Linked DNA regions of Alligator mississippiensis. The protein of the gene in region 4 interacts with the protein of the main gene of each other region in a biochemical or structural test. Links are inferred from orthologs where the notes say so. Each region holds a gene or a part of one and is shown on either strand. Other genes may lie near its edges. The genes, in order: GUCY1A2, WWTR1, potassium voltage-gated channel subfamily A member 5 and SNTA1.

The links.
Region 1: the proteins of SNTA1 (region 4) and GUCY1A2 interact in a test that uses a peptide from one of them, tested with the Homo sapiens proteins (3 studies listed by BioGRID and IntAct, with this or other methods). The link is inferred for Alligator mississippiensis from reciprocal best matches to the Homo sapiens genes SNTA1 and GUCY1A2.
Region 2: the proteins of SNTA1 (region 4) and WWTR1 interact in a test that uses a peptide from one of them, tested with the Homo sapiens proteins (2 studies listed by IntAct, with this or other methods). The link is inferred for Alligator mississippiensis from reciprocal best matches to the Homo sapiens genes SNTA1 and WWTR1.
Region 3: the proteins of SNTA1 (region 4) and potassium voltage-gated channel subfamily A member 5 interact in a test that uses a peptide from one of them, tested with the Homo sapiens proteins (2 studies listed by BioGRID and IntAct). The link is inferred for Alligator mississippiensis from reciprocal best matches to the Homo sapiens genes SNTA1 and KCNA5.

What each region holds. Positions count from the first base shown.
Region 1 is NC_081824.1:437,938,503-437,945,403, forward strand, and holds the start of GUCY1A2 (guanylate cyclase soluble subunit alpha-2), read left to right. Parts: upstream 1-3,883; 5' UTR 3,884-3,996; coding exon 3,997-4,215; intron 4,216-6,901. UniProt on the Homo sapiens protein: Has guanylyl cyclase on binding to the beta-1 subunit. Isoform 2 acts as a negative regulator of guanylyl cyclase activity as it forms non-functional heterodimers with the beta subunits.
Region 2 is NC_081830.1:61,395,950-61,403,253, forward strand, and holds the start of WWTR1 (WW domain-containing transcription regulator protein 1), read right to left. Parts: upstream 3,009-7,304; 5' UTR 2,556-3,008; coding exon 2,125-2,555; intron 1-2,124. UniProt on the Homo sapiens protein: Transcriptional coactivator which acts as a downstream regulatory target in the Hippo signaling pathway that plays a pivotal role in organ size control and tumor suppression by restricting proliferation and promoting apoptosis.
Region 3 is NC_081827.1:141,490,567-141,498,478, forward strand, and holds potassium voltage-gated channel subfamily A member 5, read right to left. Parts: upstream 3,021-7,912; 5' UTR 2,919-3,020; coding exon 1,140-2,918; 3' UTR 415-1,139; downstream 1-414. UniProt on the Homo sapiens protein: Voltage-gated potassium channel that mediates transmembrane potassium transport in excitable membranes. Forms tetrameric potassium-selective channels through which potassium ions pass in accordance with their electrochemical gradient.
Region 4 is NC_081832.1:27,973,452-27,980,893, reverse strand, and holds the start of SNTA1 (alpha-1-syntrophin), read right to left. Parts: upstream 3,013-7,442; 5' UTR 2,912-3,012; coding exon 2,647-2,911; intron 1-2,646. UniProt on the Homo sapiens protein: Adapter protein that binds to and probably organizes the subcellular localization of a variety of membrane proteins. May link various receptors to the actin cytoskeleton and the extracellular matrix via the dystrophin glycoprotein complex.

The DNA.
Region 1 (6,901 bases), on a different chromosome or scaffold from region 4:
AAGGCAACAATTAAAGAACATTTTCCAAATATTTGTAAAATTGCCTGTAGCATACATGTGAATTGCATTATGTTGTTCTGACAATGTAAAGTTCTTGCTGGCATTCTTTTTTTCCAGCAAGAACTACACATAGGTAGTAAACAGCTACATAGTGGGTGCACCTCCATGTGTGCTTTATTGCGGAGTTGACTAATTAGCTCCACAGTAAGGCATCACAGTCTACGTGTGCATTGGTATTAAAGTGCAGTAAACTCATTAAATCTACTGTAGGATAATACTGTTGAGGGCAGTACTATGTTATGGCAGAGAAATAAAGGGTGCTGAAACACAGATGTAGCTGGTGACTGGACAAGTGCCAGACTCCTCCCTACCCCCCAGCCACATGACTCTGCAGGTTTTGCACCCTCATGCCCCAGCCAGCCGCTCTGGTGCCGCCACCCAGAGCCCGGGGCTGATCCCCCCAAGCCTGCTGCCAGCCCAGGCCAGCTCTGCCCCAGCTCAGAGTGCTGTTGTCCCAGGCAAATGTGTAGATGCCCGTGAGCAGTTCACTCTGGCTCATAGTGCTCTGGAATTTATCATGTTTCATTAATTGCATGTGTAGATGCACCCAGTTCGTCAGTAATGTGGAAACCCCAACACATTCCAATAAGACTTTTATAGCAGATCAGCTTATATTCTCTATGTACTGTAGTTATTGCTTGCATGTTGTATCATTGTCAAGAAAATCATTCAACTCGCAGATGTAGCTTGTCCCTGTAAACTTATAGCTGGGTCAACTTAAGTCAGATGAATGTAATTGAGTAACCTCACCTAACAGGCTCCAGAACTCAAGGAAGTCCTAGTCTTTCTAGTATTTTTGTTTTCCTCATATAAAACCACCTTTTGGTGATGATTGGTACTTTTCCAGAAGGTCCCTCTGTTTTGTTCAGTTTATTAATTTTTAGCCATTGTGAACATCAAATAGAATTTATCATGCCCTAGACAGACCACTGATATGTGTCCTACTGGAACAAACAGGTATTGGGCCTACTAACATGCATTCAATCTTTGTTCTTTGCAAAACTAACAGGTGATGTTGCAACACCAATTTTTGGCTAGCAGTTAGGTTTTCTCAGTGTGCTGTATCAGCTGGAACAATAGCAGCCTTGAGGTCCTAATTGCATTTTTTTATACTGAATGAACTTCAGTTGGCACATTATCTAAACAGTCAAGGAAACCATGTTTTACATTTTTTGTAAATGAATGATTTCTGTGCATGAGTAAATCCAGTTATAGTTGTAGTGACCTCAAGGACTGGAGTTTAAAATGAAAGATTTCCTTTTCCATTTTAATTGAACTCAATGTCATATAAAAATGTTACAAGGCCATGGATTTTTTTTTTAATATAGCAAGGAGTTTGCAAGGATCCAGAGAAAGTTTGATAATATTTGTTAGAAAATGGTAGTTTAGACTTTATTGTACGAAGAAAAAGAAATAGCCATTGAAAATTGTTGAAAGGATTGTGTGTTCTCTTACCATTTGGTTTAAAAGTGAGTTTCCAATGCTGAAAAAAAAAAATGTAAATACTCTGACCAGCAAGACACTTACTTTAAGTCCTACAAACAAACTGTGTGTATGATATGGAAACAAATGACTTGTATATACTATTTTCTTATTCAGCAATAATGGCTTTATAATCCACAAATAAGTTTCCACTACAGAGCTGAATCTTGTAGTCCTTATTCAGTCGTAATTCCCACTGAAGTCCATGTGAAGTCAGTGGGAGTGTGCTACACTAAGACTGCAGAATAAAAAAGAAAATGGAAAGCTGCAAGGCAAACCTTAGGAAGCAATCACAAAAAGAGCCCTCTGAACACAGCATGTTCCCACCTTTGATTTACTTCTTAAACACAGAATATACTGTTCATCCCTCTCAGAAGTGCTTGTTCAGGAGACCCAGCAATATTGGATCCTGTGATTGAAAGTTGTCAGGATTTTGGAAGATTTTATAATTGAGTGCTGTTGACATTGGTATAAGTGACTTAGTCCATTTTTTATCAGGGTAAAAGAAAGAACATCTATCCTTCCTCTAATTTTTAGGATGCAGAGAAATAGCTTTTGTGATTCAGTGAAGAAATTAACCTTACCATGTGCAGCAAGTGAAGGACATGGAGTCTCAGAGGAGCTACAGTGCTAAACTAAACTTTTCAGGCCTTTCTGTTCTAGATTAGCTGAAGGAATAATGAAGACTGTGCAATGAAATTCTGTTTCTACCCTAAAAATCATGCTTCTTAAAACATGTCAGTGCAAGTGTTTTAGTTCTTCCTAGCTCTGGTGTATAAGCTTTGGTCAGAAAAGTCCAAAGAAGCACAAGAATTGAGGTGGCAGGGGATCAACTTCCTTGTTTTAATGGAGAAAAATATTTCATATACATTTTTATAGGTTTTTAAAATTAAACTTGTTAGGCCAGGGGCATCCAGGTGATGGAATTGAAAAGAATGAATGGAGTTGCTTTATTATCTCCCCTTTTTAGGGATTCTAATTAAAGGCAGGAATATTTATACCCCTTTTCCCATCCACCTTTTTCCCCCATGCAGACACCTGGACTCCCTGTGTTATAGTGTGTGGTGTATTCGATACGACACAAACATCCACTGAAGTAAAAAAAAAAAGAGTCTACATTTGTTTCCAATGGGTTTTGGATCAGGCTGCATTCAGAAGTTTAACATTTATTGGTAAGAAGAGGGTGTGAAACATATACCAAAACATCACTGCATAAGCATAAAAATCGAGACCTTAAACCCACCCTACCCTCAAAATTAGCCTAAGAAGACCCAATCTGTCTTGTTGATAGCACAAAGTAATAACATTCACATCACGTTTGCTTGGGGCCTTTCTGCCTGGATAGACTACAAGCAATTGTTAAGCAGTTCATGGCAAAAATGTCTACTTTTTAAAAGCAAATGCGTGGCTTGAAGTGTTGAGGGGGTGGGGGGGATGAAGATTTAGGTGGCTTATCTTTCATTGTCTTCAAAAATGTCATCCTTCCTCAAAGCTCTGGTTAGCTTGCTTTCTTTGTCTTTTGTTGTTGTTGTTCTTTTGTAATAAGCTGTATTTGAACAGTGATGCGTGGCCTGCATTTTATCCTTGCTGTTTCTTTCTTGGATGCAGTACGCAGTCATAAAAAAGCAGGACTTGAGTGAAACCCTGAACTGAGACGTTGCCATCAAATATGACACGATCACAGCTTTTTTTGTGTGTTTATGAAGATCTCCCTTTCTCGGCTTTGGGAGTGAGCATCCAAAAAAGGGTGCAGGGGCAGTTGCTGCCAAACTCCTCTTGATTGTGGAGCGTGGAGCTTACAGGAGTTCATTTTGGTGAGAAACTCTTTACACAGGGCAGGATCTTCTAGGTGTCCATGTGGAAGACCTGTTCTGTGGATGGGGCATGTTTCATCTGCGAGAAAGTGACCTGGATGCCTTTCTGTTGTTAAGCTCTACAGGGAGAGCAGTAGCAGACACAACCTGCAGCCCTGCTACTCAGCTGCTGCTGCTGCGGCTGTGTAGACTTGTTGAGCTGGGTGTAGCAGGCATGGAGCTGTCCAGCACTGTTTCAGACAAGAAAATAAAATAAAGCCAAGCGTTTCTATTACAGGCAAAAGTAGAAACTGGCCTAGTTGGGGCCTGGGGAGGGGGAGGTCTTAATCAGCCCAACTGGAGGGAAGGAGGCGGGGTGGGGGTGCATTGGAGCAGGTGCCCGCAGCCTTTCTCCTGTGCCAAGGGGCGCGGGGCGGCGCGGGGCAGGCGCGGGTGCGGGGCGGGGGGAGCGGCACGTGATGCGGGGGGGGGGGCGGAGCGGGGAGGAGGCGGCGGCGGCAGAGCCGCGCAGGGGCGCCGGCATCTGCTTTAAAGCCTCCCGGGCAGCGGGCGCCGCGCAGGGCCATGAGCCGCTGCAGCGGCAGCAGGAGCAGGAGCAGCGCCCCGGGCCCGCGCGTGTGAGCCCGGCCGGCCGGCCGCGATGTCCCGCCGCAAGATCTCGTCCGAGTCGTTCAGCTCGCTGGGCTCGGACGGGCTGGAGACGAGCCCGGAGGACGAGGGCGAGTGCCCGCTGGCCCGCCTGTGCTGGAACGGCAGCCGCAGCCCGCCCGCGCCGCCCGCCGCCCGCCGCGCCCCGCGCCGCCGCCGCCTCAACCTCGACTCGCTGGGCGAGAGCATCAGCCGGCTCACGGCGCCCGCGGTGAGTGCCCGCCCGGCCCCAACTCCGCCCGGGACAAGCGCATCTCCGCCGCGCCGCCCTCCCTCTCCTGCCGCTTGGCCTTATCTTGCATTTCCCGTCTTAATTTGAAGCCGCTTCAACTAGGAGCAACCAAGTGCTGAGACCCCCGCCTGAGGGTGGGGGGGGGGGGGATAAAAATAGGAGCCCCTGCTGCCGCCTCCTCATTCCTCCTCTGCCCGCGGTGGCACGGGCTGGAGCGAGGCTCCTTCGGTCTCTGTGAGAAGCGCTTGAATGGACGCGTCTGGCCCTGAGCCTTCCTGAATTGCTGGGCACCCATTCCCAAATCCGTGCAAAAAAGGGCTCCTATGGGGCTTTTAAAGGATAGTTTGTTTTTTTTATTTAAAAAAAAAAGAGTAATAATTATAAAGCAGGTGGTGCTTAACTAGTGAATATGATTTTTTTAAATAAAACATTTATATATCCCCCTACATTTTTATTGTGTCTGCCTGACACTCCCATCTTTCCTCAAAGAGGAGACGTGAACTACTTTTCCCTGTCAGATTCCCCCCCCCCCCCCCCCCATTAGACACAGGGAAAAGTTGTTGAGTTTTCCCACTGTAAAATAGCCAGAGTTATAGGTCTGCACCTGTTCTACCACTCCGCTTGGAGATGTTAGTCCTTTAAAAATGCTCTTTGAAATCAACGGTGTATGAGTACTTGAGTCGGCATGTCGGATACTGAGGATTCGTGAATTGCTGAACAGTGTGTGTTACATACAACAATGTCCTTTTCAAAGACGGTGAAATTATTGCCCCAGGCAAGTCTGGATTAGGTTGTTTTGTGCACAGTAGAGGAATTATACTTACTTTACCACAAAACTGTTGAGCTCCCATAAATACATATATCATGATGAGAACATTTCACTGGGGTTCCAGTTGCAGATGAATGTGTTTTTGGCTCTAAGAGGCAGAGATTGTTTTGGCAGGTGAAGGTATTGATTTTGAGTTGCAACAGGTAGCATGTTAATATGTAACCTGGTTTGTATCTGCTGAATGATAAGGCAGTCACTACGCCTTTCTATATCCTATTATTCACCTTTGAATTAAACAAACATATCTGGTTAATCTCCAGTCCATGTGCAATCAAGGCATTGGTGTGCGAAGCATTTAACATGCTCTTTGTTCAGGATGACTTGGACTAAGTAGACAGCGGTAAACCAGTTGTTTTTAATAAGGAAAATGAATAATGCATCACAGCTGTATGATTTCACTAAGCAGTTTTCCCTCTCCAGGAGGAATGTGATTCTGCAATGCTGAATTTAATAGAAGACCTCTCAGGTGACCTGTCTTATATTATTATAAAATAAGTAAGTTATTTGATACCGTAGTAATACAGGTGCTATAATTAGAGCAATATATCCAATATAGTTAAACCATTCTGAAGTAGCTCAGTACAGTATTTTTAGATATTTAGCATTATTATTGTTGATAACCTCAGCATTTGTATTTTCACAGCTTTGACTGCTACCTTCTGTAGTGGGATGCTGTAAAAGGCAGCTTTAGAGGTTAATTTTAGTTAATCACTGCATCATTTGAAGACTAAACAAACAGAACCTAGAGGTAGAGAAACACTGCTGGATCATCTTATCCACCTTCCTGTCAGAGGCAGTTTTGGAGAGAGGTAGGTAGTTATGTTAGTCTGAAGTCAGGCAGAAGGCATAGTAGATTTACACCTCAGACTAACTAAATCATATAGTATAAGCTTTCACGGGCGCAAGATCATTTCATCACCCCTACTACCATCCCCAAGTTTAGTCATTCAAAAATGATTTGGGGAGTGTTGTCCAATCTGGCTTTTTGTTCCAAGCAACAGGGGTCCCACTGGTTTCCTTGGGAGAGAATTGCAATAATTCTTACTGTTTTGAAGTATTTTTCTTTTTTATATGCGTTGCCTAAAAGTCCCTATATTAATTGCATCTTGGCATTCTACCACTAGAGCTTGATTCTGATCTTACTCTGTTCTAAGTGAAGAAATGCAGCTGTAGGCATTAAATCACACTGGCACAAACCTGCTATGAGAGAGAGGAGAATGAGGCTTACTATCTAGTCTTGATATTGTATGAGTAGTAATTATTCCAAGTCATTATTTTGGTGCGTACTACTTATTGAAACTGTTCAGTGGTACTAACAAAACAGCTACAGTTGTGGGTAAGCACAGTAGAGTAGCCTTCTTGCAGACAGTCAAGTTATCATATCATATTTAATATGGCTTTTTTCTCACATCCACTAAAGTAAATCTGGAGTAATTACTTTGACTATAATAAAGTTATGTGGATATAAAATTAGTATAAGAGGAGGTTTGTGACCCTTATTTAATTTTGAAAGTCAAAGCCCAAGTAACACGCTCATAAAGACTGAGGAAGATGCTCCCAGAAGGAATGTAGCAGCAACACATGAACACGCAGTGTTAGATGCTTTCAGAGTTGAAAGATGCATTAGGGTTTTCAGGTTTATGTACAGCTGTAACCTTCTGCTCTGCACTTTTAATACAGAGATGGCTCAGTTTCATGTTCGGAGTAGTATCATTTTCCAGTTTTCATGGATGGAGAATAATAGTATTTGTGAGTAATACTGTTATGGCATGCAGAGGGCTCCCTGTTGTGATATTATTTCAATCTGGATGTAGCATTAGCTATAGAGAGTCGATC
Region 2 (7,304 bases), on a different chromosome or scaffold from region 4:
AAGGATGCTGTAAAAATTGGGTTGGATTGGGCCCTAACCTGGCCAGTCTGCCTTCGCAGAATGAGGTTTCACCCACATGGCTCCTAGCAGCTGGATAAGGACCCACATGCAGGATTGGGCCCATGGACCAGATCTGGCCTGCAGGCCACCGAAAGTTAAGTGTACCACCAATTTTAATATGGAAATAGTGTGTCTGGCATACCAAATGCTGGCAAAAACTGTTTTAATAGAAGAGCTTTTCAGTTCACAGATGGAAAGAAATGTACAGCGACTTGGCCTAACTGATATAGAGTATCTGACTTAAAACACAAGAGACTGAGGTGGTACTCCTAGCTCTGTGACTAGCCTACTGTGTGATGTTGGTTAAGTCACATCACCCTGCTGCCTCAGTTTCGCCATCTTTAAAATGGGGACAATCATGCTTGCTTACTTTGCAAGGCACTTTAAAAGCTACTGATAAAAAGTGTTCTATTAGGGCTTGGTATTATTATTTACAGAGGCTGCTTTGCTAAGCTGATAGAGTATTGGCCTAGGACTGAGTGGTGTTAAGGCATGGACAGATAAGCTTGCTGTAGCAAAGCAAGAAGGGGCAGGGATTTACCATGACAGCTGCTCTATGGGAACTGTCCATATGCATGCTCTTGCCCCATGGAAAATGAGAGAATATTCATTCAACTGCCCTGAATGAAAAGCGCTTCCACTGATGTCTAAGTTACCATGGCTTAGCTTTCATCTTTCACAGGTTAATGGCATACACATGGGTAGCTACTGTGGATCAACTAACATGTGGGTAAATTCCTAGTCCCTTTTACCTCACCAAAACGAGTCCATCTGCAAATACCCCTAGATTCTATTACCAGCTCGGTGGGTAACCTTGGGCAAGTCCCTTCAACTGTCTGTACCTTGCTTTTCTCATCTGTATTCTGGGAATAATGATGTATACAACCTTTATAAGTACTCTGAGGTCAAAAGATAAGAAGTGCTATAAAAGAGGGAGACGTATAATTACAACCTGTGAAGCCCTGGCAATGATACCAAAACCCATTAACTCTGAATGCCCTTTTTTGCTACTTTCCTTCTCAGTTATTTAACAGAAATGCTGACATTCATTATAAGGGAAACAATGGGAAAGGCAAACTTCACCTCTCCAACAACTACAGGTTTCCCTCCATTTATGCTACACGTGCATTCCCAGAGACCAGTGCATAAATCAAATTCGTATAAAGCATACCCACTTTACAATGTAACAAATAGCTCCTGGGCTGCTGCAACCAGAGCTGGGGTGAGTGTTGTACCCCATGTTGCCTGGGGCTCCACCTGTCCACACACACCCCAGTCCGTGCTGGTGTAGCCCTGAGAGCAGCCGACACCAGCTGCCTGCAACACAGCACTGTGCAGCCCAGGAGCTGGGGTTAGCCCAGGCGTGGGGGGGACAGGCAGAGGTACAGCCCAGTGGCTACAGGCAGCTGGAACCAGCTGCTCTAGGCAGGACTGGGGTGAGTGGGGCCATAGCCCTTTCCCCTCCCCCCATAGACTTACCTGCTTGGGGGGGGGTATCTATGCTGATCACATAAGAAGGAATTTACCCTGTATACAACAAATTATGGGTCTAAATATGTTCATCACATAAGAGCAAATTTGCATATAAAGAACCTGCATAAATCAAGAGAAACCTGTATTTGGTCTCTAGGAGTGCTTTGGGCCCATTTCACACCCTGCAACAAGGCATATGCTCACTGAGCCCCCAGGAGCAACAACAGGCATCCCTTCTAGTCCTGGTGAAGCTCTTTAGCAGTTTGTACTTAACCTCAGGTCACACCAATGACCCTGACAACAGAAAAACAGGGGTGGGGGTGCTCACGGGTCCCTCGATGATCTCAATGAATCCCACCTACCCCGATTTCTAGACGGGAGCTGCGGTCTGAGGCAGCCTGGCTGGAGGGCAGCGGTGCTAGCCCTGGCAGGGCAGGCTACCTGCTCTTCACGGCCAAGAGCGCTGGCTCACCAAGAAGCTCAACCCAAAGCCAGGGCCAGGTCACAGGCAGCCCCTCCCCTCGCCAGCCGGCTCCAGGGCCCCCCTCCAGCCACATGCAGCCACCCCACGGGGCCGGGCCAGGCACTCACTTGAGGAAGTAGCGCTGCCCGGTGTGCGTGAGCGCCATCTCCCAGCCGGGCGGCAGCGGCAGCTCGTCGGTCACGTCGTAGGAGCGCTGGCGGAGGTGCGCGTGCTGCTGCGCCGAGCCCGGGGCGGCGGCGGCGGCTGCGGCGGCGCCCAGCAGCGAGGCGGGCGAGGAGTGCGAGCGGACGTGCTGCGCCCCGGCGGCGGCGGCGGCGCCCAGGCGGGCCGGGTGGCTGCCCGAGTCGGTGCTGGACTGGCGGGAGTGCGAGCCCGAGTCGGGCTCCTTGAAGAAGGACTCGGGAAGGATCTTCTTCCGCCACGAGCTGGGCTTGGGGTTCAGCACCGAGTTGAAGAGCGCCTCGAGCTCCGTGTCCAGGTCCTGCGTGACGTGGATCACCTGCTGGCCAGGCGGCGGCGGCGCGCCCGCCCCGTTCATCTTCGGCCCCGACGGGCGCGGGCGGGTGGCGGCGGCGGCGGGGCCCGCCGGGACTCCCGCAACTTGCCCCGAAGCTCAGGCGGCGCGGGCCGGGGCGGCGGCTCGGCGCTCACGGCCGGGCCGGGGATCGAGCTGCGGCCGCGGCGGGGCCTGGCCAGCTCCGCTCGTCCCGGGGCTTCGCCTGTCCCGAGCCGGCAGCGGCGGGGCCGGGCCGCGGGACTGCGCTGCGCCGCGCTGCGCTCTCGGGTCGCCGCCGCCGCCGCCGGGACTGTCCCGCACAAAGTTTGCGGAAAACTCTGAGCCCCGCGGGGGCGGGCCGGGGCGGGCCGGGGCGCGGCGCCGCTGCATTATTCAGGAGCTGGTGCCCAGGGCCCGCCCCTGCCTGCCCCGAGCCCCGGCCTGTCCTGCCCGCTGGGAGCCGCCGGCGCCCCTGCGCCTCCCAGGCCCCGCCACCGCCGGGGCAGGGGCGCACGGGCCAGTGGCGGAACGAGCCCTTGGCCGGAGCCGAGCCCGAGCCCGAGCACCCCGCTGTGACCATATTTGGTAGCGAGAGGAGGAAGAGCCGTGCGCTTGCCGGGCTCTGGCAGCCCCGGCCCCAGGGGAGCGGGGCGGTGCATGCTTGTAACCGGAGCTCCAGGCTTGTCCTGGCCCCTTGCGACTGGCCCGGGAGCCGAAGGAGCAGGGGCGGCCGGGCACCGGCCTCCGCCGCAGCCTGAGCGGTGAAGGACGAGCCCTGTGGCAGGGCGGGCGGCGCCCTGGGCTCCGCTGTTACAAGTCGCTGCTGCAGCCCCTCGCCGGCACGGGCCGGGAGGCGGGGGCGGGCAGTGAGCGCAGGCTCTCTGCGCGCGGGAGAGCCCCGACCCCGGCGCTCAAGCCACGGTCAATCTGTGCAGCGGCTGTGCGGTCTCTGCGGCTCCGAGCCAGGGGAACTTGTTCTGCAGACTTCCCCTGTGCCGAAAGGTCATTCACATACACTTCCACTCCCATCGGGCATGGCAGAAGCTCCTTTTCCCGTGGAAGACTTTTGGGGTACTTGCAACACTTTTTTAATTGTCGCATCAAAGTTGTCAAAAAAGCCCCAAACTGGGCAAAATCTTTATGTAAAAAGGAAAGCACAGTTCACCTGTGACTTTGGATATTAGGTTTTCCATAGCAGGAGGATTATCCTGTTCTCTCTTCTGCTTTCAATCTGTACAGGTGTAGACATAACCATTTTTTCTGTATCATTCATTACCCAGGCACACCACTCTCATGCTTGTGATGGATTTTGTTACACATTTCCACCAGCCTGTTCAGCTTTCCTTCGAGTCCCAGCGGTTTTCAGGCTCTGCTGAATGCAGAATACCTTTCCCTCATTCATCAGAATCTGTGCTAGCTCTCATTAAACAAGCTATTTTCCTGAATATGCCATGCATATTCCACTTGCCTTTATATGTACGTTGGGCTGCTATGCACTACCTTTGGCTGCTTCAACTTAGATCTCTTCTTACTAGCCTTTGTGCAAGTCCCATTCAACCCTGCCCCTGAACTAGTTTTACGTATAACAATAGTAAAGCAAGTCTTCAGATTAGCAATCCAAACACTTTTATTTCAAATAGCATCTTTGGACACAGATCCCTGGAGATAGGCATCACTTTACCTTGTGTAGGCCAACTCCCCCATTCTGTGCTTCAACAGTTTCCTTTCTTACATTTCCTGCTTGTATTTCCACTAGCTTGGCATATTTTATATCCCTTGTATTCCTCCATGCTACAGTTGTTAGATTTTTAACCCGGAAACTCAGTACTCCTAAAAGAGTTTTTTTATGCTTCCGTTCATTGGGAATTTTCCTCCCCATCTCTTCCACTGCTTCCTTACTGGGTGACTTTTATTTTCACTAGCTCAGACAGCTGTGCTAGTTGTAGCATATGTTCCAAAGTTATTCAAGACAGCCAGCATGTTTTTTTTTCCTGAAATATCCTTGCTTAAGAATTTCAAGTAATAGAAGATTTTTTATATGCATTTCTTTATTCATCTTGATGATGCTGTGTTCACACAGGTTCATTACGTTCTCTTCTCAGTGCAAGCACACCTGTTCACAAGCTGCATTCTTCTTTAGACTAAATGCCAGTAAGGCCAGACTCTGATATTGACTTCCCCATGGCATAACATCTTGTTTCACTTAGATCTGTAGACCATTTGCAGAACAAGATGCCACTGCACAAGTGAGTATAATCAGAATTTATGCTACAATTTGTAAACAATATCATAAGTACTTCTTCCTTGTTTAGAATTATCACTGAATAATCATGTCTTGTAGTTCCATTCTGTGATTTATAGCAGCTTCAGTCACTGATCCAAATAATTTAGAAGTTTACATTGAATTAAGGTCCGTAGCATCTTCCCCCCCCCATTTTACAGAGAAGTAATCTGAAGCACAGAAACAGGCTCTTAGAGGAGCTAATTCAGTGCCCACTGAAGTCAATAGAAGGTAATTGACTAAAGTGAGCTGAGCACTGGATTTAGCAATTTAGAAGCAGAGTAATGAATAGGAGCCAGGATGCTTTTCATTCTTATCTCTGTGTTCTAAACTACAAGAACATAAATCCTCTTGCACTGCATGTCAGTGAGTTTTCTGAAGATTACTTCAGCACTAAGAAAATACCATTATTTTCTATAATATTCTGCAGTATGAACAGATGTTAATGGTGCAGTAACTAAATAGCTCACTCCTGTGAAGGATCTGCATAACAACGCTTAAGTATAGTCATTGCAGGTGGTCAAAAGAAACATCCAAATTCCAGTGAGTAATCCAGGTACTAGGGATACTTTCAAATGCAAGTTTGACACCCCTGCTTTACAGGAAAGTCATCCCAATTTTTTGCATGTGTTTTTTGACTAAGTCCACCAATACTTTATGGTTATGTTTCATGTAAATAAAAAGGATCTTTGTTGGAAAGCCTTCATAAGTGAAGATCCAAGTGTAATCTGTAGAAGAAAATGTTCAGGATTTCTTTGAAGGGCCTCTTGTATCCTGGGTAATTAAGTAACTGTTAAATTATGAACAAAGGGTCAAAGAAAACTTCATCCTCCTGTTTGCACTTATGCCATATCCATTAGTATGTGCTATATATTTAAGGGACCCACAACCTTAACTAGAAAATGTTTACCTGCTATCATGTCTGAGGGGGAGGGAGCCCTGTTTAAAGTCACTTCATTTCATTTTTAACTTGATTTAGGAAACGGATTCACGTAAATACAGGCATGTGGTTTTACATTTTAACAGGTCTTGTGTAGCCAGTCAAACCAAGGAAGCATTTTATATTGGTACTTGAGATAGTCCCTAATGATATGACACACTGATTAAAAGTGTTAAACTTGATTTGTTTTTCTAAAAAACTCACTTCCCAGTAAATATGTAGGCCAATGTCTTCGGCAGTGTTTGTAAAAACAAACTGGTTAAGGCTCAAGTTTGTTTCTATAGCTTTTAAGAGGTACATTATTAACCGATTAGAGTATTTCTCAGGTAATTAAAGACATTCAGCCTTTGGTTTGTTTCACAATACAAGGTGGGTCCCTTGTAGTCTGCTATTTCCCACCCTAACCTGCTTTACCAATCATGTAAAACAATCCCGGTTGTCTGTGTGGGGAAATTCACTCTCAATTATTCTGGAATAACTCCTTATATGGATTCTATTCCAAAATAAGTTATTTTTATATTCTAGGCTATATTTACTATACAGAGTCTTTGCAGTCTTTGGGTTCAAAGCTACCACATAAATTATCAAGTGGCTAGTGTTTCTTCCTAATGTGCTATTGAGTAAATCACACTTTAGTAAATTACGGGGGAAGGAAAGGGAGGATATCGCCCACTGTATAGCAGCTTTTCTCAACTTGTGGGTCACAAGAATATATGAAAGGGTTGCAAACAAACTTTAAAAATGTAGAACTCTGCCAGCCTGCAAGAGAAAAGCCATGGTTTCCTAAGTTTTTCTCCTTTAAAGAAGAATCCATTTTTAAAGTTTGTTTGCTACCCTTTCATATATTCTTACAACCCACTTTTGGGTCACAACCCATGGGTTGAGAAACACTGCTCTAGTGCTCCTACACTGGTGGGAGGTGTCACAACCCAAGGGTGTGATTTTGTGTGTGCGCACTTCGGCACTGCTAAATTATTTCCCACCGCTCGGAGCTTTCTTTGCAGGGTGCATTTCTTAGTTGCAAAGAGAAATGCACGGTGCAAAGGAGTTCCTGCCACCCGCATGCAAATTTGTGTCCCACTATTGGCCAGTTCTAAATTATTCCCACGTGGCGGCTAGTGATTGGCTTGCTAGCTGTATAAGAGGCTTGAGTGGTTTCCGCCCAAGTTGGAGAACTCCGCAAGGGAGGACTCCACAACCATCTGGAGGAGGAGAACTTCACATCTCGTGAAGATCTCCAAGCGCTGCGGAGCCTATTGGACCCAGCGTATACCTTGAGAAGGCTATAGGGGTCTGATCAATCTCTGGCCTCTCCCCGTCACCGAACGATCCCTCGACGAACCCCTTCCCTGCGCGCAAGTTCCACGGAGCCTAGAAAACTTCATGTGAGTGTATCCGGAGCTCTTTCTCCGAGTTGTTTTCTTCGGTTGACACGACGGGCTCGCGTGTTTAGAGCCTTCAACCGGATTGGGCTAGAGGTTCGCGTGGAAGGAACTCTTGTCCACTTCTCTTCTTTTCTGTCTGTAACTGCAACTCAAACAAGTTTTCCCCCCTGCACCGCGACCATCTT
Region 3 (7,912 bases), on a different chromosome or scaffold from region 4:
TCCTTCTCAGTCCAAGCTATAAGCCATGTGATGTCAGATTCTTTATGTGCCATCCATTTCCAAAATGTAATAATTAAAAACAGTGAACCGTCTACAAAAGCAGCACAGATCTGCAGTGTGACTGATACATGTGTTTAAAGGAATTTGGAGTGTAAATAAAATAAAAAACAAAAACAAAAAACTTTTGCAGATACTGCACCAGTAAGTAGCTTTCAAGTTATTACCACCCACCCCTTAATGTTTTTGATCTGTTGTGCACTTGGATCAAAAATAGTAACAGTAAACAAAATCCTATATTTAAAAAATCCTGCAAATGCACCAATGGTAGAAAACTACAAAAAAATAAATAAGCTGCATATTTTTTTCTGGGATAGAAAGCACAGGACTGAATTATTCAAAATTGTGAAACAGTGAGATTATTAATAAAAGCATTTATAAAGAAACATATCTATAATATTTAATAAATTAAGGCTCACAAGAAACTAACATCTTATCAACAGCAAAGTTTTCTGTTGTAGGGGTAAAAGCACCAAATTCACTTCACAAACTAGATAACCAGATCTGAACTGATCACAAGGAGAAATCTGATAGTGTATCATAGCTAACATTTCTAGTGCTTTAATGAAGTCATGTTTCACATGAAAAAATAATCTCCTTTCACCCATAAATACAGTTATACAGATACAAAATATATCAAGATAATTTCAGTTTGAAACTACAGTACCAAAAAGAAAAATCCATTCACCCTCCACACACAAGCACACCTTTCCAACCCTTTAATACTAAACTTTGAGCAAGTGAATTGGTTATGCGACCCATTTAAAGTCACTGTTTGCTAAAATAAGTGTCTACCAATTACATTTGCACTGTAATAATTTACCAGCTCCTGCATCATGGAGAGTAACTTATTCTTAGTCTATTTTAAAAATAGGTGACCCTTTGTGTCATGGAAAAAGAACATAAAAACATGTATTCTTGGAGGTCTGTTTAGACCAGTGGTCAATTATAAAATATAGTCAAACTTAATGTACTAAGCGGTACCAAAATTATAATTACAACACCAACAACAACAACATCATAAATGTTTCCAATACCAGCAAACCCTGCTGTCTCTCTGAACCCCGACTCAGTGCCTTTTCTCACAGGTCTGTTTCCCTACTGGTGTCCAGGCAGAGCGCATACAACGATTTTCTGAGATCTACGTTGCTCTTAGCTTTGATATTGGCTTTCTCCAAGGAGCCGGTGCCATTGTTGATCCCTTCACAGTTTTCCAAGTGCACAACAGATTTGCTCAGAGAGTCTTTACTGCTGGATCTTTTCAGCTCCCCCTCGGCCGAGCTACCCTGGGCACCGCTGGCCTCGTCTTTGAGGATGCTCTGTTCTTCTTGGTCAGTCTCCCGGTGGTAGAAGTAGTTGAAGTTGGACACGATGACGGGCACAGGCAGGGCTATGGTCAGCACGCCAGCGATGGCGCACAAGGAGCCCACAATCTTGCCCCCGACGGTGACGGGCCTCATGTCCCCATAGCCCACTGTGGTCATGGTCACCACTGCCCACCAAAACGCATCGGGGATGCTGGAGAAGTGGGAGTCGGGGTCATCGGCCTCAGCAAAGTACACGGCGCTGGAGAAGAGGATGACTCCGATGAAGAGGAAGAAGATGAGGAGCCCCAGCTCCCTCATGCTGGCTTTCAGCGTCTGCCCCAGAATCTGCAGCCCCTTGGAGTGCCGGGAGAGCTTGAAGATCCGGAAGACCCGGACCAGGCGGATGACACGGAGGATGGCCAGCGACATGGCTTGCTGCTGGCCCCCGTTGCTGGTGGCAGGAGTCCCGGGCTGTGGCTGCTCTTGGGCCAGCTCGGTGCCCAGAGTGATGAAGTAGGGGATAATGGCCACGATGTCGATGATGTTCATGATGTTCCTGGAGAACTCGGGCTTGCTGGGGCAGGCGAAGAAGCGCACCAGCAGCTCGAAGGTGAACCAGATCACGCATGTTGTCTCGACGATGAAGAAGGGGTCTGAGAGGCCGCTGGGGGGCTGTGCGGCAGGCGCGGGCTCGCGGCCCGGGGTACCGTTGGTGGCCGGGGGCAGGGGCACCTGCAGCTCCCGCTCGTCACGGAACTCCGGCAGGGTTTCCAGGCAGAAGGTGATGATGGAGATGAGGATGACCAGCACGGAGACAATGGCGATGCCCCGCGCCGAGCTGGAGCTCTCGGGGTACTCAAAGATGAGCCAGACCTGGCGCTGGAACTCGTTGCGGGGCAGGGGCTTCTCCTCCTCCTGGATGAAGCCCTCGTCCTCGCGGAAGCGCTCCATGGCCTCCTGGCCCAGCTGGTAGAAGCGGATCTCGTCGGCGAAGACGTCGATGGAGACATTGACGGGCCGGCGCAGCTTGCCGCCCGACTGGTAGAAGTAGAGGATGCCGTCGAAGCTGGGCCGGTTGCGGTCGAAGAAGTACTCGTTGCGCAGCGGGTCGAAGTACCGCATGCGCTTGGCCGGGTCGCCCAGCAGCGTGTCCGGGAACTGGCTCAGGGTGCCCAGCTGCGTCTCGAAGCGCAGCCCCGAGATGTTGATCAGCACCCGCTGCTGCAAGCCGGCCCCGCCGCCGCCGCCGCCCTCCTCCTCCTCCTCCTCCGCCGCCGCCGCTGCCATGGCCATGCCCAGCCGGTGCCCGCCTTCCTCCATGGCCCGCGGAGCGGACGCCCGGAGCACGCTGCCGCTGCCGCTGCGGCTGCGGGCGGCGGGCGGCGGCGGCGGCGGAGGCTTGGCGCTGCCCTCGCTCAGGCTGAGGCGCGCCGGGGCGGCGGGGCTGGGGCCGTGCAGCAGCAGCAGCTCGCCCCGCCGCCCCGCGCGGCCCGCCGCATCCTCGCCGATGGCCGTGGCGCCGCCGTTCTCCAGGCTCACCAGCGCCAGGTCCATGGGCGGCCGCGGGAGGCGGGCGCGGGCATGCTGCGGCCGCCCGGCCCCGGGCTGCCCTGCCCGGCCGGCCCCTAGCGCCCGCCCGCCCGCGCGAGCCGAGCAGCCCGCGGCGTCAAGCCCCCCGCTGTGACGTCACAGAGGATCCCGGCTCCCCCGCGCCGCCAGCCCGCAGCCTCCGCGCCGGTTACCAGGCGACCGCATCCTCCCGCCCGGCGAGCACCGCACTGCCCCGCCCCGCCCCCCGCGGCATGGCAGTGTGCGCCCCGGCGGCGCTCTCCGCCGGCACCGCTCCCTCCCGCGCACGGGCAGCGGGCATCACTCCGAGGCGGGCGTCCCCTTCCAGCCCAGCCCGGCCTCTGGGAGAGTCTCCTTCCCCTCCCTCACACCTGGGGGAAACCCCTGCGGCTGCCTTGGGGCAGGGCTGCGGCGCGATGGGGAAAGAAAGAGGGAGACTGACAGTTGCTGACAGTCCTCCTGTCTCGTCCATTTCCCCTCCTTGGGAGGTACAAGAGCAAGTGAAGTTATATAATTAAGACTGTCGTGCTGTGGTGCAGGCAGAGCCTTCTCTGTCTCTGTCTCTCAGACACACACACACACACTTGCTCTGGCTCTCACATACATGCTCTGGCGCGCACACACACTCTGGCTCACACACACTCATTCTGGCTCACACACACTCTCTGGCACACGCACACATGCATGCACACACACACACACACCCCCTGGTGCTGGCTCTCACACACACACACACCCACGCACGCCCACACAGCCAGCCAGAACAGGCTGAAACAAAGGATTACACAGCCTGCCCCCATTCATGGATTATTTGTTAAAGGGATTTTATGCAGGGAATGCTGCGCGCCGTCTTTCCTGCTATAAAACCGCACTTACAAATAATGAAAATAATAATCAGGGAAAGGAATAGCGCACCCAAGGGACCCTGGTGGGGCTTTGCCGGGGGAGGAGGGGTTGCCCACTTGGAGCGCGCTGGAGACAAAGAAAAAGCTGTTTTAGAGCTAGGTTGCGATTAGTCTCCAAAAAAAGGTGGTAGCTGGTGTTTGTTACAGAGTCACACAAAACAGAAAACCAAATGCTTCCATTAGGATACATCTATATGTCGCCATTCAACTTACTGGAGCGGTAATTCATGTTTTGTATGCCTGCACGTTCTTAATGTATGTCAGTACTTTATAAAATACCAATGGATGTATATTTATGAGAGGAAGTGAACTGAGTCTGCTCTCCATTGTCTCTTCATTTACAGTGTAAGGAGGGCAACCCATGCTGTGGTATTTGTTTGCAATCTTCAGTTTTGCACAGCAGCTACACAGGAATGCGATAAACATGCAAGAAAAATATAATCCACATTACACAAAATGCATATTCTATCCATAGCAAAATATTCTTGTGGATTTCTGGGTTTTTAAAATAGAGTAAAATATTTCAGCAGTGCAAAACTTCCCTACCCCCGCTTTCTCTAGGATTCATCATGACAGCAACACTCATATTGAATCCCTTTGGTAAACTATTTTATGGCCATAGGAATATATCAAGCTTCACAGGAAATATTTCAACTTAATGTAAAAAATATTAGCTTCATGCACAAAATGTGCCCCAAGATATTAAAGATTTCTATAATAGGAAAAACATATTTATAATACATGGTTGTTAGTACTGATTATTTTCCACTGACAGGTCATATTCTGTCAATTGCCTCCTACGACTAAACACAGTCTCAGGGACATGTAAGATAATGCAGCTGTAACACAGGACCCAGCTGTGCAAATCTGAATAACTTTACTTCCACGAGTAATCTCATTGACTTCAGTACAACTATGCACTCAGATAAGCCAAAGTATGTGTGTGTTTGCAAGACTGTTTTTAACATCGATATTTTTCAGGTAATATATCAACCTTGCAAATGTAGTATTATTTCCCAGGATGGCATTTACGCTTTAGCTGTCCATGAGATAGAGCTGTAAAACTAGTGGAATAGCACTTCAATCCGCAAGAATGGTACCATCTGCCCTCCAAAGGATTTAAAATACAGTTCAGAGCCACACATCACGACTTGTTAGCACAGAGGTAGCCCTAAAGGGTGATATGAGGCAAATAGTTTCACTCTAGAAGAGAAGTCTGGTATCCAACCATCACTACCTACAATTTCCACACCCACTTCAGAATCTTTCCCCTTCACAAAGTCACACATACATATCCACAAATACTTGTAAGCCATGCTTGCATTCATCCACTGTGACCTCCAACCTCATGGCGCACACATAATATAGCCTGCATATACCACCTACCCACCCACGTATACACAAGCAAGCTCACTCATTCATGAACATATGCAAGCCCATAATACTTCTGGAAATGCATGAACCCATAAACCTCTCTGTGCAAATGCAATGCATATACCCCATCTACTGCCACAATTTCCCCTCCCCTTTCCCCCAGTACTCATCACTATGGTATGGGGTATGCCTTCATAGGAACACATATTCAATGTTTTTGGGTATTCATATTTATGCGCCAACCTGCCACAAAACTTCCACCCTTTTAAACATGTACTGCATACCCACACTTATCCACAAAACCACTGAAACAACCATCTACTTATGTTCCACCCCAGAGGCACTCCCCGCACACAATTCCCTTCTCCCCTAAACACATATGGGCTTAACTGTACTCAGCTTTCCCTGAACACAGCCTATCGGTATGCTTTTATGTGGGGGAAAGCATGGAATCAATGAACCACATGTATATGTTGGCAGTAAGTGTTTTATCCCAAGGAGTGTCATATGCACTATCAAGTGAAAAAGAGTATTTTTCAGGAGTCCCTTGTTGAAATGCTGGCACCATATCACTACATTTGTTCCATTAGCTTCTTTCCCATGCCATTCTCTTTATCCAGTGCCATCTGCCTGGGCTTTCAGTAAGTATCAACATGCTTCAATAAAGCATTCAGCTCCATTGCCAGTCCTTGCTGCATTGAGAAATTTGAGAGGATGCTGGAAGAGATGTTCCCTGCCTCCAATCAGCCCCCTGCTCACATACATGGTCATTACCCTCACCAAAGATGTGCACTGCCCCCACCCTAGGTTCTTAGGATGATGAGACTTCAGGGGAAATAATGGTATTCTACTCAAGCACCCCACAGAGTAGCTAGATGTTTCAGCTAAAATAGTTAACAGCTATTACCTACATTGCCATGTACATCTTCAGGGGGTCTCAGAGTCCAAACTCTTACTGAAATGAACAAGAGTTGTTATTCTCTCCCTCCCTATAACTTCATCTGCTTGCAGACTCAGGAAGACACACCTCCTGCATATTAGTACACACCTAGTAAGGCCCAAAACTGTATCCCTAATGAAATCTTATAGAATGCTGAGACAGAGAGTATCACAGAAAGATGGGTCAATCCTATTCCTGATAGGGCCCAGAATGGGAGAGTAGAAATAATGTAGGAAGCAGAAATCTCACTGTCCTGTTCCCATGTGCCACTGCCCCGCCCAAAACAAACAAACCCCAAAACAAAAGATGCGGGAGGGGCTGGACCCAGTGATCTGTAAGGTCCCTTCCAGCCCCTCACAACTGTGAAACTATGAACTATGAAAACAAAAAACCAACTCCCACTACTACCCAAACCCACAAAGTTTTCCAAACAGTCCTTGTAGCAGTCAGGCTTCCAGCTGTGCACGTCTGCAGAGGTGGCCCTGTACAACTCCTGTGCCTGTCTCACAGCAGTAGCAGGTGGGATAGCTGGTGTCTGTCTGACTTGTCCTCTCTGATGAGCAGGGTGGATGGTAATTGGGATTTCTTTGATTCTTAGGCAGGCATGTCCACTTTGGCTACTGCTCATTATTCTAGCAAGGGGTTAAGTAAAGGGGCAGTGTGGGGAAGTACAGTATCTTCTCCTCTGCTAATAGGGAAACCCCTATTCTTCTTGGCATCAGACTACAACATTCCCCTTCGTCTTCCCCTCCCCTCCCACCCCAACATCCCCAGCCCTCTGGTTTGTGAGGTGAGGGCTCTCTTGGCAGGAGAATCTTAAATGTAGACAGCAGGAGGAGACAGCACCTGATCTGAGGACTTCCCAGGCCTCAGGCCTTTCCTACCAATGCCTCTGATTTTCCCCATGGTCATTGGCGACGCGTAGGGGGTGCACATGGCTGCATGTGCACCCCCTGAGATTGGCAGTGAACCCCATGCGAAAAGTGCTGCCGATGCTCATCCCGCCCCCTTCCCCCCCCCCACTTGCCAACAGCACCGCCAGTGGCGTCTGCTGGCAGTCCCTGATCGCTGCTGGCCGCCGCTGATGCTGCCAGTAGCATCCGCGGGTGGTCACTGATGACCTGTAGGTACTCACCACACCAGCCCCGCCGCCAACACCGCCGCAGCTGCCTGCGGGAGCTCCCTGCTGCCATGCCCTTGCTGCCAACACCGCCGCTGCCACCTGTGGGAGCTCATTGTGTCCCTGTAGCGTCCAGGGGCACACGTCGTTCATGCCTGTGGTGATAGTGCCTGACAACCAGAGGGCTCTCCACTAGCCATTCTCCATCTCCTCTAAATAGTGCTAGGTTAAGGTGAGAGCCCACAAAGCCCCAACTCCAAGGGCACCTGCAGATGAGCATGCACATGTGGTTTGTAGCACCTCAAAGCTGTCTGAGGCATTGCAAACAGCACGTGGCACACATGTAATCATTTGCTATGCTGCTAATTTGCAGCACAGTGCCAAAATTTGATACCTGGAGACCCCGGTGTCAAAAAAATTGCTGCAAAGAAGTGGCACGGTGCATGCTTTAAGAGCATGTGCCAGCAGACACAGAGGATGGGTCCTCCAGGGAGATGCTCTGGCTGCTGCTCCCCTCCTTTAGTTGTCCCCTGGTGCCTCCAGCACACCAGGAGCTGGAAGGAGCTCCCAAAGTGGAGCATTTTGCCCTGCACCATACCCCCACAGGCAGGGGTGTCCACAGTGGCAAAAAGAAGTGGTA
Region 4 (7,442 bases):
TGCTGCTATGTCTCCATTCTTTGCCACTAGAATTTGGGCCAGCTGCTAGCTTTCTGTGCTTTATTCAGCTTGTGCAAATGTCCTGTCCTCTTCCCCACTCCTTGCCAGCCACAGTTCTTGGGAGACTGACCAAGTTTGTGGGTTGAGAACACCAAGGGCAGAAAGAAACTTAATTCACTTTATACACCCAAATGGCTGTTTTCCAGCTGTGCAACTGCCATTTGTGCCACTTACAAATTGTGAAGTTAGTCCACATGCACTGTGCAACCATCCATAAAGTTACTAAACACGTGTGGCAGGCTGCACTCTGGCTGGGTAGATATGCAGCTCCATACACACGTACTCTGCACAAGCCAAGTCATGGAATTCTTTCCACCTGCTACTCCACAAATAGCAGGTTATTAGATGCCAGAAAAGGAGGAGGGGGGCTCTCTCATGCTTTACATCCCATACCTGGGTAGCTAACACACTTACCCAGGAAGCAAAAAATCTAGTATATAGATCATGTTCCACCTCTTCAACTTCCCAAAAGCACAATGTTCTAATCACCAGGCCATATGTTATGCATTTATTTTATGGTCTGGCCCTCTGCAAGGGAGCAGATCCTATATTCTAATCTGGGCCCTTTCTCCCAGTGCACCAGAAATACCTGTTTATCCATTGAATATTAAACACAAAGTACAGCAACTCAGGTTCAGAAGAACGGCTGAATAATGCCTCACCTATACCCAGCGCGCCATCCTGGAAGTCAGAAAGATCCAGGTTTATAAGCCATCTTGCATGGGAGGAATGGGGGTCCATAACGTAAATCTCCTGTTTCTGATGGCTTTGACACTAAAACATGGGAAGGGGGCCCTCCTTTTTGCCAGACTGAAATTTTGGAACATATATACCTTCACATTAAACATGCTCAGTAGTCACGTGGATGCACATTCATGCTATATAGAGACAGGATTGCAAACTGTGTCAACGCTAAACTCTCAATTAGAAGGGTGGAAAATTGGCACTTGGGCACACAAAGTAAAATACGATTCTGCCCCAAATCTTCATAGTTTGGAGGGACTCTATTTCACTCTTGCATTTGGCTCATAATAAAAATATGAAAAACACTGGGTGTAAGTTTAAAGGAAGGACCTAGCTTTTAAAGGGGCATGGCAATAGATTAGCTTTCCTAAAATCACTTCCTTTCATCTTCTGTGAATGTACTCAACTTCCTGGAGAGGTACATTACCTCCATCTTTGATTCTAAAGGTCAAAGCTGCACTTTTTCCAGGTTGCTTGAGAAACTTTAACAGATAAAATAAATAAATGCGTCCTGCCGCTTCAAGAAAATTATACCTTCAAAACCTGGTTTATTTTGTGTTAACACTGTCTATTACTCAGAGCTCCTTCAACACACTGTGCCAACTTCTCCATTGTGTCTTAGTGCAGCAAACTTGTACAAATGAGGTCTTTCAAGTCGTGCTGATGGGGTTGACAGAGGTGCCTTTACAATTCAGTCCCCCTAGAAGGTTAAATCTGACAAGTGGTGTGGACTGCGGATTTTTCATCGTCACTTCTGATATGGGCAAGGTGTTATGGAGCAAGATCTGTTGCCTGGTGCTGGCTAATATGAAGGGATGCTAATAGGCTGCAAAAAGGTAGAACAGCCTTTTGGTTCAGTTACAAAGGGGAGGACAAATAACACCTTAACACTTCTGCAAAACACAGCTGAATTCCAAATTCAAAGGCACAGAATGGGAGAGAAACAGAGGGGGAGGAGGGACCTGCTACATGTGATATGTATCACGCAATTGACCGTGAATTGTGCAACAAATGTAGATGGGCCACATGTCCACAGTAATTATCACACTGAAGGACTCCCCTGCTTTAAAAAGACCCAATGAGCTACAAAATTAGTGCCTGAAGATGTGTCCTACTCTAATTGAAACAGTAGCAGAGCCCTGGGAGAAAAGCAATTCTCAGCTCTGCTTGCCCCAGGTATGGGGCATAACTGTGGTTTCCACAGGGGGCTGGGGGCCCAGACTATGTCTAAGGGGTCTGTGAAAGATGACTATGATCAGTCAAAAGTATGTGACCACCCACATTCACAGGTCAGAGGTGCCTGCACCGCCTTTCAACATTTTTAGGGGTCTGCAAATATAACGGTTGAAACCCGTTGTCCCTGGCATCTATTTTTAAACTTTTTTTGCCTGATATTTCTGAGCAGCAGCCAACCGGCTCAGCTGGGTTCTACCTCCAGCCTCAGAAGAGGCTGCATCAGGCAAGCCAAGAAGTCGGGTCGGAGCAGCCTGGGGATCTCCCAGACAGAAGCATCCTCCCGCAGTGATTTGCTCTTCCCACCCCCGACAAGAAGCGTCCAAGTTTTTGAAATAAAGACTGGTAACCGCCCCCCGCTGAACTCTGCGGGCAGCTGCCCCGCCTCGAGGGACCGGCGGAGCGAGCCCGAGCAGACGCGTGTCCCAGGCAGGCGGAGAGCGCCGCAAGGAGCTGCGTGTGGCAGCAGCGCGTTGGGGCCGCGGGCCAGGCCCGCGGCGGCGCCGGCACAGCAGCTCCGCGGGCCCCGCGCCCGGCACGCTCCCAGCACCCGCCGCAAAGTTTGGCCCCAAAGTTGCTCGGCGCCCCTGGGCCGCCCCGCGCCCGCACCTTTGATGCTGATGCCGAGCCCGCCCACGTCCTGCTTGACGATCCGCACCGTGCGCTTGATGTTGGCCAGCGCGTCGGGCACTGCGGCGCCGGACTCCGCGCTGTCCTGCGGCGCCGGGGCCGGAGGCTCCTCGGCGGCCGCGCCCTTGGCGGGGCTCACGCTCAGGAAGTCTTCGGCTAGAGTCACCAGCACCCGCAGCCACTGCTCGGCCGGGACGCGCAGCTCCAGCAGCCCGCTTTTGGGCGCCCGCCTGCCCGCCGCCATCTTCAGCGCATTCCGGGACCGGCTGCTGCGCCGCCTCCCGCCCGCCCGGGTCGGCAGCGACTGGGCCCCGGGCACCGCGGCGCCGCCTGAGGCCTCCCCGCCCAGGGTGCCGCCCCCCAGCCGGCCCGGGCGCCGCGAGCGGCCGCAGCACTTGAGCCCCGCCCCACCTCGCCCGAGCGCGGCCGCCGGGGCCCCGCGGGCAGCGGCCTCAGCCGGCGCCGCGGCCGCTCCTGAGCCAGGGCAAGAGGCCCCGCGGACTCATCCTGCTTCCCCGGCCGCCCTGGCACGGCTACGTGCGCGAGCTGAGACAGCGGTTCCCAGAGGCTGTGGCAGGACGCCAGCACCAAGTGTGTGTCAGCGGGGTCCGGCCGGAGGAGCCGTCACCCAGTCCCGGCGGCTCCGATATTTGGCCGCCGCTTTCCCGCCACCAAACGGCCACGCTCCGTGGCGCAGGATCGGGTTCTGGCAGAGCTGGCCCTACACAGCAGGTTCACGCTGCACCAGCCCCACACACCTCGGCAGGGTCCAGGGAGCGGATATGTGCCACCCATTTTACTCCATAAAAATGTGTACCCCCAGTATCAAAACTATGGGAAACATTAACTTAGGAGAATAAAGAGGGGAAAGACACCTGATCTCTCCTGGTGTACATTTAGTTAAACAGACAACAGGTTAGCAGAGAGCAGAAGGTGATGCTTAGAGCAGGGTGCTGGATAACCAGGCTTCTGAGTTCTGCTACTCGTGTAGTCTGACCTGCCTCAAGTCCCCTCTCCCTCTAAAATGAGGATGAGCATCCCTCAGACTTGCCCACCCCTGTGGAGTGTTAGGGTTAATTCATTCATGCCTCTACAATGCTTTGATCCTTGCATGGGGCTTTGGTCTGGCTGGTTCCCTGTACCTGTCCTCAGAATCTTGTGCTATGGGCCTTGGGGCATGAGGAGAGCCAGATGTAGGAAGCAGCTGGTCACAAAGCTCTTTCCCTGTAAACTTTATCCAGCTCTTTGGATGCAAATTATTCTTGGCTCTACAGGAGACATAACAGCACCTTGAACACACACAGCATCAAGAATATTAGCAGACTCCTAGAGCTGCCATATAGGTGATCCACTTAACTGGGAAGTGAAGCAGGATGTGATTGTATCTGTCCTTTGTGTCTTCGATATCATCTTGCAAGAGCTTGAGAAATCTCTGGACAAAATACCCACAAAAACTTCATAAATCCAGTGATAATTTAAATCAATCATCTTTGCGAAGGGTTCAATGAAAATGTACAGGATTCTGAAGAAACTAAACCAATGGTTCCAAGTACCCATCCCAAAGGGTGGCTTGGCTAGCCAGAGCACTCCTTATCAAATGTTGTCAGCATACATGAATCTGCTGTCTTATCTAGCTCTACAAGTTGGTTCAATGAAAAATATTACCTCAAAAATCTTCCTTTTATCCTTAACAAACAGGATCCACTCATCTCAGTGAACAACAAAACCAATATATTTAAGATTAACAGCATCTGTGTCTCTGGGTAAAACAGAAGGTAATTTGGTTCTTTTTCTATTTTTACAGATATCTAGCCATGTGGAGTCATGGCTCAGGAGTAAAGGATTACTAAAATCATTGGCAATCCCTTGATTCAAGGATGGTCTCTACCATGGTTCACTGATGGGTCTTGAGATGATTTAAGAGTCCAATTCTTGAGCAACAGATCCATCCGCAGGAGTTGTAGGTCTTTCTGCAGGGGAGAGTGGGCTGCAGGCAAGGATTCCTCTCCTTTTCCTTCCTCTACTCTGTCTTCTCTGCTTCGAGGGCAAGATGCTTTACTTCAAAATGGGTTGAGGTTGTGGTGCCGTTGGGGTCAGTTGGCAGCCAGCACCTCCCAGCTCTTGATGTTGCCATCTGTTTCTTGAAGTATGCCTTGAGTGTGTCCTTGTAGCATTCCCTTTGGCCACTGTAGGATCTCAGGCCATTGCTAAGTTGGAAATAGAGCACTTGTTTTGGGAGTCGAGAGTCAGGCATCCGCACACTATGTCTGGTCCAGTGAAGTTGATGCTTGAGGAACACTGACTCAATGCTGGTACCATTCGCTTCAGCAAGGATGCTGGCATTAGTGTGGTAATCCTCCCGTTTGATGTGGAGGATTTTCTGGAGGTATTGCTGATGATACCTCTATAGGCTCTTGAGATGATCATAGATCACCCACATTTCACATCTGCAGAGGAAGGTGAGGATCATGGCTGCATTGTGGACCTAGATCTTGGTGTCTTTCCAGAGATCTTGATGAATAAAGACACACCAAAGCAATTTCCCAAAGAAGGCACTTGTGCATCAGATCCTGTGCTGGAACTCTTCATTAATGTTCACTCCTTGAAAAAGGTGGCTGCCAAGGTAGGGGAAATGCTTGACTACCTCCAGGGTCTTTCCCTCAATTGTAATTTGGGGAAGGGGGTTGTCTTCATGGCCTGGTTGATAAAGCACTTTAGTCTTCTCAATGTTGAGAGGCCCACAGTTTAGTAGGCTTCTTTAAAAAGATCCAGCATGGTGTGGATGTTTTCCTCAGTGTGTGCAAGTGTGGTGTAGTCATCTGCATATTGAAGGTCAAGGATGGTTGTTTTGAATACTTTGATCATTGAGAGAAAAAAAAACAGATTGAAGATCCCTCAATGCATTTGGTATTCTGTGTCAATTTTGGAAGGAACATGGTTCTTAACGAGAACTAGGGCTACTGTCAAAAAATGGAGAACAGAGTTGGGGTGATGATGCATGATTGTGTGACAGGCTGACTGCTTTTGCCCAGCAAACCAGGCTTGGAGAAGGACACTTCAGATTGGTGGAACATTTCCACCAATCAGGTAACAGCTGGGAGGGGCATGCCCCACCCCTGCTCAGAAGCGGGGGGCAAGGAGCCCCTGGACATGATTGAAGACTGCGCTTTGCAGGTCCAGCGGACTTCGGGGCAGGGCCTCCAATGTAAATAAAAGCCCAGTGTGACTCCGTCATCAGGACTCCGCCTGAGTCTCAATGGTGCCTGAATCAGCGCACGGTGCTCAGGCTCTGGGAGGCACTCGAGGCAAATCCGGCAAACAGCTGGGCACCCCGGCCTCCTCAGCCAACTCTCCACGCATCAACCTGCGCACTATGTGGGGCCCGAGCAGCCTCGAGCTGCTCCCAGGGCCAGCTCTCTGCATGCTCGAGGCTGCTCGGGCCCCACATGGTGCATAGGTCGGTGCGTGGAGACTCGGCCTTGGGAGCAGCTCGAGGCTGCTTAAGTTAGCCCTGGGTCTAGGCCTGATAACCGGAGCCCCTCAGTGTGGTTCAGCATTAAACTAAAAGAGCCCCAGTGCCCAGACCAGGGCCTGGAAAGGGGAAAGACCCCTGGCATGAGGCCAGGAACTGAAGCCAGTGAGGGCTCGGCTTCCATAGAAGTTCCCTGGGTGCCGGGCACAGGGCCCAGAGGAAAGGGACCCCAACTCAAGGCTGACAGCTCCAGGAGGCCTGAGACGGTGCAGGGACCTAAAGATCAACAGCCCCCAGTGGAAGGACCATGAGTTACTGGAACATTAGAGTGAAGATCTCTGTTCCCCATTATGCAGACATCAGAGTAGATAATTATAACCATCCTTTGCACCCTTAAAATCAATGAACCTGTACACCAGTAACGTGAAAGATACAGTCTCTGGGCCAGGGCTGGTCTGTGGAACTTTATTATTGGGCTTTCTGGGCACCTGGAGGGGATGGGAGTTCTAGCGCAGGGTCCCACCACTGATTTGAGCGTATGGAGGCCTGTCAGGACATGTGTTGGCAGCAGAGGGGTGAGCAATGAGTGTATTAAACCATGAGGCACAGAAACCCACAATGGTTAATGCCATGGCCACTCACCCCACCACCAGAGGTGGGTCTGAATCTGGCCAGGGGGGAGAGAGGACCAAAGGGAGTTTGGTGCCCTCGCTATAAATTATGTGACAGAACATAAGATGCTTTTAAAATGCACAAACAGAAGCTTACAACATTCTGGTATTCCCAGTTATGTTTTGTTTACAGAGAAAAATGTGCATGGAAAGCTTATTCCTGATATCCCTATATCAAGAAAACAACCTTGCGTAGTGCTGCTGGTACAGCACGGTTACTGTGCACACCAGGCTGCATTCCAGTGACAGATTTTCAAAGACAGGAGCCAATGGCAGGATCAGGGCTTTCTTCTGCTACTGTTTTTCTCTGGGGCGGATATTTTCAAAGCCTGCTTGCAACATCCTCAGAGACTGGATGGAACTGCTTTGGAGATGGATAAAACAAAGGTAATTTTTTTCTCCTAGGCCATTGCAGAGATTTACACTTCAGTTGATTGGCTTGAGATGGGTTCTCAAATATGGAATATATTTTGTTTCCTGGGATGGATTTGCTTGAGATAGTTGAGTGACAGCAATCAGAAATTGAAAGTACCTATTTGTTCATTTATGGTATTCCCTTTCCATGCAGGATTACCAAGAATACCATATTTCAGACCCTTTTTATCTTGTACTTTGTGCAATTGCAGATGCCT